Linked DNA regions of Arabidopsis thaliana. The protein of the gene in region 1 interacts with the protein of each later gene in a pairwise test. Each region holds a gene or a part of one and is shown on either strand. Other genes may lie near its edges. The genes, in order: TUB3 and PLP3a.

Region 1 (5,202 bases):
ATCTGGTATGGGAACATTGTTGATCTCTAAGATCCGTGAAGAGTACCCAGATCGCATGATGCTTACCTTCTCGGTGTTCCCTTCACCAAAGGTTTCTGATACTGTGGTTGAGCCTTACAACGCTACTCTGTCTGTCCATCAGCTTGTTGAGAATGCTGATGAGTGCATGGTTCTTGATAATGAGGCCTTGTACGATATTTGCTTCAGGACTCTCAAACTCACTACCCCCAGCTGTAAGATTTCATTTCCCAATTATGCTCTCCACCAATGTTAAGATGAGTTAAACTATGCTTGAAATGCTTGGTCTACATGGTGTTTATGTTAATAATTGGTATCAAGTTCAGATCTGCAAGCATCTATGTAAAGCTTATAGTATTGTTACTGTTTCCATTGGTTTGCTCTTTGACTATGTCACTGTTTTATATCAGAATTCTGATTTGCAAGTCTCTGTGCAGAACTTATACTTTTGTTACTGTTTCCAGTCGTTTTGTACATATCTTTAGCCTCTTGTTTTGTGTGATATTGCTTCTGTTTACCTATTTTGATCTCATCACCGAAGTAGGTCCTTAAACTACTCTTATTGGAACAATACTTTCTGGTTAAGTTGCAAGTAGAAATCTGATACTTGATGATCATCAGTTTGTTGAGTTTACTGTCTGCTTTGATTCTTTTCTCATCGTACTGTTTGGATATGTCTAAAGCTTACACATACTTGGATTTTCTTCTGTGTGCAGTTGGTGATTTGAACCACTTGATTTCTGCTACTATGTCTGGTGTGACTTGCTGTCTGAGGTTCCCTGGTCAACTCAACTCTGACCTCCGAAAGCTTGCTGTGAATCTCATCCCATTCCCCCGTCTTCACTTCTTCATGGTGGGTTTTGCTCCTCTCACCTCAAGAGGTTCTCAGCAGTACCGTTCCCTCACAGTCCCTGAGCTCACCCAGCAAATGTGGGACTCCAAGAACATGATGTGTGCTGCAGACCCAAGGCACGGACGCTACCTCACAGCCTCTGCCATGTTCCGTGGCAAGATGAGCACAAAGGAAGTTGACGAGCAGATGCTGAATGTGCAGAACAAGAACTCGTCCTACTTTGTGGAGTGGATCCCCAACAACGTGAAATCGACAGTCTGTGACATCCCACCTACTGGTCTGAAGATGGCATCAACTTTCATTGGAAACTCAACATCAATCCAAGAGATGTTCAGGCGAGTGAGTGAGCAGTTCACAGCTATGTTCAGGAGAAAGGCTTTCTTGCATTGGTACACAGGTGAGGGAATGGACGAGATGGAATTCACAGAAGCGGAGAGCAACATGAACGATCTTGTGTCAGAGTACCAGCAATACCAAGATGCAACTGCGGATGAAGAAGGTGACTACGAGGATGAGGAAGAAGGTGAATATCAACAGGAGGAAGAGTACTGAGAATAATTTAGTTATAACTGCTTTAAAAACAAAAACAATTTAGTCGTTTGCTACTTTTCTTTTTTTTAAAAGGAACACCTCAACTACCAGTTGTAGTTTTTTTCTCTGCTTGTATTTGACATATCTGGTTGATGTTTCTGTACTTTTGTTCTTAATCTTGTTATTGCCTGTGATGTTTCTATTAATATTTTCCAGTTGTACTGTCTTCAATCTTTGGTCTTCTATCCTCATCTTTCTGCTACCTGACTACCTCAGTACCTACTTAAGGACTTTAGGTTTGATCTGTTTGGAAAATAGATTAAGGTTCGGGATTTGTGACCTCAGGGCAAGTGCAGCTCCATATTAGACCCCAAAACAAATTTATCACTGTTCTGAAATACAAATTCCCCAACATGCCTAGCTTTGAGGATTGATTGTTTCTAAGCTATTTATTTTCTTTACCAATTCACATAAATACTTTAGGATAAAGTGGAAATTGTCAATATTCAAACACGTTCTCTTCCCTTTGTTAACAAGCAAAATATGAAAATAACATGTGCTCTTCCATTATTTCATTTTTTGCAACCCTTATGAATGGGCCCAAAGCCTGCCACAAACATGTGCACAATATTAGAAAAGAAACTCTAAAAACAAAAACAAAATGAACATTCTTTTTTTTGCAATTTGTATTATAATATCAAAATAATATTTTAAAACTCAATTTAATATTGGAAAATAAAATAAAATTTGGAAACTAAACAGTTACCATAGAGAAAGAAACGGACCATTTTTAAATTTTGAATTTCGAGAAAAACAAAATCGGCGCCTCTTATTAGAGATAATTGGGGGAAAAAAACAAAAAACAAACACAGAGAGAGCAATAATAAAAACTCACTCACTCTCACTTTTTTCATTTCTTCAACAAAAAAAACCTAAAGCTCTCTTTTCTCTCCAGATTTCGATTCCCGAGGCTCGAGAGAAAACCGTAAATCTCTTCTCCGTTCACTCAATCAACCAAAGATGCGTGAGATTCTTCACATCCAGGGTGGTCAATGCGGTAACCAGATCGGAGCCAAGTTCTGGGAAGTGGTTTGCGCCGAGCACGGCATCGATCCAACCGGAAGGTACACCGGAGACTCAGATCTGCAACTTGAGCGCATCAACGTTTACTACAATGAAGCGAGTTGCGGTAGATTCGTTCCTCGTGCAGTGCTCATGGATTTGGAGCCTGGGACTATGGATAGTCTCAGATCTGGACCGTACGGTCAGACCTTTCGACCTGATAACTTCGTCTTTGGTCAATCCGGTGCGGGTAACAACTGGGCCAAGGGACACTACACTGAAGGAGCTGAACTAATCGATTCCGTTCTCGATGTTGTTCGTAAGGAAGCTGAGAACTGTGACTGCCTCCAAGGTTATTCTTCTCCTTCTTCTTCTAGATCTGTTTGTATTAGGGTTGATTGAGCTTTACTGGAGTTTTAAACTGCGAGATTTGCTTCTGTAGGGTTCCAGGTTTGTCACTCATTGGGAGGAGGAACTGGATCTGGTATGGGAACATTGTTGATCTCTAAGATCCGTGAAGAGTACCCAGATCGCATGATGCTTACCTTCTCGGTGTTCCCTTCACCAAAGGTTTCTGATACTGTGGTGGAGCCTTACAACGCTACTTTATCTGTTCATCAGCTTGTTGAGAATGCTGATGAGTGCATGGTTCTTGATAACGAGGCCTTGTACGATATTTGCTTCAGGACTCTCAAACTCACTACCCCCAGCTGTAAGATTTCGTTACCCAATTGTGCTCTTTTACAAATGTTAGATTAGTCGCTCTATGCTTAAAATGCTATGTCTAGATGGTGATTATGTTAATAATTGGTATCAAATTCAGATCTGCAAGTTTTCTCTATATATAACTTACTGTTTTGTCACTGTTTCTAGTGGTTTGTTCATGTCTATATCCTCTTGTCTTGTGTGCTATTGGTTTATCAATGTTGAGCTCATCACTATAAATCCTTAAGCTGCTCTTTAATCTTATTGGAACAAAACTTTCCGGTGAAGCTGCAAGTACTTTCTAGTTTAATCTTATATGTTGCTTGCTGTTACATATGGGATATGAATTCATTGATGACTATCGATTTGTGAAAGTATACTGTCTTCTTTATAATATACTTGTTTCTGCAAGATATGTTGCTATGCTCATCATGTTGTTTGTTGTATGTGTCTATATGGCTTACATACTTGGTTCATTCTCTGTGTGCAGTTGGTGATTTGAACCATTTGATATCTGCCACTATGTCTGGTGTGACTTGCTGTCTGAGGTTCCCTGGTCAACTCAACTCTGACCTCCGTAAGCTTGCTGTGAATCTCATCCCATTCCCTCGTCTTCACTTCTTCATGGTTGGTTTTGCTCCTCTCACCTCAAGAGGTTCACAGCAGTACCGCTCCCTCACAGTCCCTGAGCTCACCCAGCAAATGTGGGACTCCAAGAACATGATGTGTGCTGCAGACCCAAGGCACGGACGCTACCTCACAGCCTCTGCCATGTTCCGTGGCAAGATGAGCACAAAGGAAGTTGACGAGCAGATGCTGAATGTTCAGAACAAGAACTCGTCCTACTTTGTGGAGTGGATCCCCAACAACGTGAAATCAACAGTCTGTGATATCCCACCTACTGGTCTGAAGATGGCTTCCACTTTCATTGGAAACTCAACATCGATCCAAGAGATGTTCAGGCGAGTGAGTGAGCAGTTCACAGCTATGTTCAGGAGGAAGGCTTTCTTGCATTGGTACACAGGTGAGGGAATGGACGAGATGGAGTTCACAGAAGCAGAGAGCAACATGAACGATCTTGTGTCAGAGTACCAGCAATACCAAGATGCAACGGCTGATGAAGAAGGTGACTACGAGGATGAGGAAGAAGGTGAATACCAACAGGAAGAAGAGTACTGAGAGTAATTTAGTTATAAAAACCGCTTGAAAAAATCAATTTAGTCGTTTGCTACTTTTTTTCTTAAAAAAAAAAATGAGAACCTCAACTACCAGTTGCAGGTTTATTTCTATGCTTGTATTTGACTTATCTGGATGATGTTTATGTACTTTGTTTTTAAATTTGGTTCGGTCTTTAGTTTGAATCTTCGTTTAAGCTATTATTGACTGTATTGTTCCTAATCTCGTTAAAGACTTTGGGCTTATGATTGACTAACCTTTGGGCTTATGATTGACTAACCTTTGGGCTTTGGATTTCTTCATTTATTTTTAAGAGCTCGGCCCATTTTCGTGGTGACTAAATTACACTCTTCGAGATAAAACAGATAAGAAATTTACTTTTGATGTAATAAATATTGTTGCTACGAAGTATTTTACTTTTGGAAATAAATAGGGACGACATTAGTGTTAATACTCTTGTAAATTTTGTCAGATTACACATTATTTTACAGATCTCTCAGACAAAGTAAATACAAAAACGACACAGTTTCGTAACTTTCACTCGCGTCTCAAGTACAATCTCTAAATTACTCGCTTTCTGTGAAAGACACGTGTATTTTGTGACTTAAATAACAGCGAGTAGATTTTAGAACCATAGTCGCGAGTGTTTTTATAGGCACAGATATATTTGAATTATGTCTCCTCGCAACGGGTCGCTCTCTCTCTCTCCTCTGCACCAGTCTCCAAGGGTACAGATTTTGAAAAACCACTCCTTTCACTTAGCTCGAAAAGAAGAGGGAAAAACAAAATAATAAAACCAAAAAAATGATAAATTAAAGAATTCTTTTTAGGAAAAACAAAAGTAAAGATTTTTCATC
Region 2 (4,188 bases), on another chromosome or scaffold:
AAATTGGTCAAGCTGTTGGTGAGTCTGCTGCGCTCCGGACTGGTTTTGGTAAGACTCCATATTCCTTTTACAATTGAACCTTTTTTTAGCTATAGACAAAATTAAGACACTGATGGATAAAGATGTATACGCTCTTGAATGGTATTTTTATAGAACCGCAACTTTGGATAGGGATCATAATCACATATAGTATTATGATTATTATCAAATTGCGTTGAAGTGACACACGTGGCGATTACGTAAGACGTTGGTTTTGTGGTTAGTGTGACACATGTCCGTTATAATCGACACACCTCTTTTAACTCGATATCCGTAAAAACAACTTATTTGGGCCGTATGGGCCTGAATTGAAAACCTGAGTAATATACATTGCCAAACAACTGCGGTCGTTTCCCTGATAACTTGTATGCAAAAGAACATATAAACTTGTAAAGAATTGAATTACCAAATAATTACATGTGAATTATACGTGGTTGTATGTGTCACAACTCACAAGTATTTTAATAACATGGAATAGTTGAAGCGATAGAAAGATAAATAAACGAAACCAGAAGTAGATATTTTATATTAATTCAAAGATCCATCACTTACATATATTATTTAGCGACTCAATGAAAGAAAGCCACATCATCATATTATTACACCACACAAATACTTAAAATAAGCTTAAACAAGTTGTTAATCAATCTAGTGATGACCACCGGGAAGCTTCTCTTTAATCTTATCCATCGTACTTTTATTTTCATGGTGAACAACGCCAGTATTACCATAACTTGTGGTGGTTCCAGTTTTGTGAGTTCCATGATGACCTGGCAGTTGCTCTTTAATCTTTTCTGCTATACCTTTTTTCTCATGGTGAACGACATTAGTGTTAGTACCATAAGCCGTGTTAGTCCCAGTTTGATGTGACCCATGATGACCTGGTAGTTTCTCCATAACTTTTTCGGTCACACTTTTTTTCTCGTGGTGAACACCACCAGTGTTAGTAGTACCATAAGTTGTGTTGGTTCCAGTTTGGTGTGATCCATGATGACCTGGCAGCTGCTCCATAACTTTTTCCGTCATTCCTTTCTTCTCGTGGTGAACACCACCGGTACCAGTAGCACCATGATGACCTGGCAGCTGCTCCATAACTTTCTCCGTCATCCCTTTCTTCTCGTGGTGAACAACACCAGTGTTAGTAGGTCCATGATGACCTGGTAGCTTCTCCATGATTTTCTCCGTTATTCCCTTCTTTTGCACTCCGGTTTGATTCTGGTGAGAATTCATTTTTCTTCTTTGAATCGAAAATATACTTCTTTAACTCTTTTCTTTCTTAGGTATATATAGATGAAATATTCAAGACTTTGATCGATGAAGATTAATGATCTCTTGAATGATACTTTTATAGAGATGCAAATTTCATTTTGGATAGGAATTCATCATCACATAGATATTTTACTCAATACGTGTTGGCCGACATCGTAAAAGTAATATATTCAATTCGTAATTGATTAAGAGTCACACACACATGGCAAGTAAGACGTCGGTGTAGTAGTGGTTAGCGACCGACGTAATTTTAACTTATATGGGCCTGTGGGCCTTTAGATATGAAAGGCCCAATAATGCATATCTTTTACTAAACTAAAAAACGATGTCGTTTGGTATGTTTCTTCCACCTTTGTTGTTCATCTTTTGATTTTTTGAAATTGTTAGTAAAGAAAGGAAAAAAGCTTTGATTTCGATTTCTCAAGCTGTGTTTTTTTATTTTTCTTCTTCGCATCAGGAAGGAATTGAAAAAGGTATGATTTTGAAGCTTTAGCTCTCATTTATCTCTGAATCCTAATGCTTTTTTCATGCTGTTGTTTCAGATTTTTGGTGTTAAAAGATGGATCCAGATGCAGTCAAATCGACTCTCTCGAATCTAGCATTTGGAAATGTAATGGCGGCTGCTGCAAGAAATTATCAAAAGGTAAAGAATGTTTCTCAATTTGTTTTTGAAATAGTGATAGACTTTATGAGTTTTTTTGATGTTTCTTTGTCTGAGTAGATTACCTGTGAGGACTTACTTGTATGGTTTTGATGAGTTCTTTATATGGGTTTTGTAGGAAGTTCTTGCAAATGAGAAGGCGCAAGGATCAAATCCTGTTAATGAAGAGGTTGATCTTGATGAACTTATGGATGTAAGTGCAATGTTGCTTGTTGTGACTGTTAAGCGTAGGTCTCTATGGTAGACTTATTTGTCTATGTTCTGTAGGATCCAGAGCTAGAAAGATTGCACGCAGATAGGATTGCAGCACTAAAGGTTATAACTTTGGCATTGTATTGTGGCCTATATAGTTATGCAGCTTTTGGTATGAACTAAAATCTTCAAGATTTTATCTTGACAGAGAGAGGTTGAGAAGAGAGAATCGTTTAAAAGACAAGGGCATGGTGAATATCGAGAGGTGAGTGAAGGAGATTTCTTGGGTGAAGTCACCAGGAGTGAGAAAGTGATATGTCATTTCTACCATAAGGAATTTTACCGGTGCAAGTAAGATCTCTCATCAGCTTATTTTTTGTTCGTCTTCTGATATGTATATGAGCTCATAACCAAACATATTTACTGCATTACTGTAGGATTATGGACAAGCATCTGAAAACTCTTGCACCTAGACATGTGGACACAAAGTTCATTAAAGTGGACGCAGAGGTTAGTGAACCATTTGATGAAAGTTTTATAAGAGGAAATGGCTTTTCAACAATCCTTTGCTGAAGCTAATGCTTGGCTGAAATAAATGCAGAATGCTCCTTTCTTTGTCACGAAGCTTGCAATAAAGACTTTGCCTTGCGTTGTGCTTTTCAGGTTTCGCCTCTTTCTATTCCTTCTTACATACAGGGTTTGTTGTTAGGTGTATACTCATAAAGTACGAGTTTCTTTACCATTCTTAGCAAGGGAGTTGCGATGGATAGGCTAGTTGGGTTCCAGGATCTGGGAACCAAGGACGATTTCACAACGAATAAACTAGAGAACGTTCTTCTTAAAAAGGGTATGAAGAACCTCGGTCCCACCTTTTTTTTATTATAACGGCCCAGTTAGAGAATTTTTGCTTAAAGAGTGCAAATCTTTAACAGGAATGCTCAGCAAGAAGAAGAAAGAGGAAGATGATGAAGACGCCGAATATCAAGAGAGCATACGGAGGTCTGTTAGGTCTTCAGAGAATCTGGACTCTGATTCTGACTGATCAAGCAGTTGACATCAAAGATCTGCCATTGCTGCTAGTCTCTGTTTTCCCTTTTTGCTCGTTTGTTATATGATTATTAGAAAAGAAAATTGCGATATGAAATCCAAACGGTCAAAGCAACATTACATTGTATCAAGGTATATGTAATACACCAACTTATTGTCACTGTTTAATAAACATTGATCTAGTTGCTTAAAACGTTTCATCAGGTTCTGTGCAATGGTGTTTTCATCCACACTCCGCCTCTAAAGCCAACATCTTCAATCGCGAAAGACTCTAGCTCTGGACACCAGTTTGCGGTCACGGTCCTCAGGTACGGCATTGACTGTTGCAGCACTTCCCAGTCCATGTCTAGGTCCGACAATGAACTTAACATTAAACCTTCAATTCTCCAGTGAGTATTCTCGTTTCCCCAGAATGGTTCCTGCATTTTCACCAAATTACCTGAACATATTGACATGTACCTCAACATCGGAAGCTTGTGAGGACTCAACCACGATGGACTCGACTTTCCAGGATAGAATTGTAGAGAAAGCTCATGGAGCTGGTGTGGAGGAGTAAGGGCGTCTATTTTGGTTATGAGATCATCGCCGTAGCTATCATAGCAGTTGATCGAAATGGACATCAGCTTGCTTAGGTTTATCAAAGAATCAAGCTCCTCCTCTTCTATCTGATCGCCACGAGTCAGAGAAAGACCAAGTTTCCGAAGGTTTGTGAGATTTTTCACTTCACTGAGCTTGCACCCATTGTTGGACCTGGCTGGCTTAAATCCCAACAGAACTTCGAGCTTCACGAGACTTCCGATACCCTTGGGGAAGCATTCAAGGGATCCACAGTTCGTCATGTCAAGTACAAGGAGTTTCTTGAACAAGACGATGCAAGGTTGAAGTTGTTTCAGATTCTGACAGTAGCTTGCGTCTAGAATCTGAAGGTTGTGGAGATCTTCCATGGAACGAGGAAACTGGATCAACGGATGTGTGTTGCT

The links.
Region 2: the proteins of TUB3 (region 1) and PLP3a interact in a two-hybrid assay, tested with the Arabidopsis thaliana proteins (one study listed by BioGRID).

The regions. Positions count from the first base shown.
Region 1 is NC_003076.8:25,182,079-25,187,280, forward strand, and holds TUB3 (tubulin beta chain 3), read left to right. Parts: upstream 1-2,179; 5' UTR 2,180-2,422; coding exon 2,423-2,816; intron 2,817-2,906; coding exon 2,907-3,176; intron 3,177-3,659; coding exon 3,660-4,348; 3' UTR 4,349-4,699; downstream 4,700-5,202. Other genes in the region: TUB2 (tubulin beta chain 2), read left to right, coding at 1-233, 735-1,423. UniProt on the Arabidopsis thaliana protein: Tubulin is the major constituent of microtubules, a cylinder consisting of laterally associated linear protofilaments composed of alpha- and beta-tubulin heterodimers.
Region 2 is NC_003074.8:18,937,906-18,942,093, reverse strand, and holds PLP3a (thioredoxin domain PLP3A-like protein), read left to right. Parts: upstream 1-1,665; 5' UTR 1,666-1,781; exon of another isoform or gene 1,782-1,850; 5' UTR 1,851-1,867; coding exon 1,868-1,951; intron 1,952-2,087; coding exon 2,088-2,162; intron 2,163-2,236; coding exon 2,237-2,284; intron 2,285-2,369; coding exon 2,370-2,512; intron 2,513-2,598; coding exon 2,599-2,671; intron 2,672-2,762; coding exon 2,763-2,824; intron 2,825-2,910; coding exon 2,911-3,008; intron 3,009-3,093; coding exon 3,094-3,203; 3' UTR 3,204-3,397; downstream 3,398-4,188. Other genes in the region: XERO1 (dehydrin xero 1), read right to left, coding at 1-60; LTI30 (dehydrin family protein), read right to left, coding at 688-1,269; ZAR1 (HOPZ-ACTIVATED RESISTANCE 1), read right to left, coding at 3,409-4,188. UniProt on the Arabidopsis thaliana protein: Tubulin-binding protein involved in microtubule formation.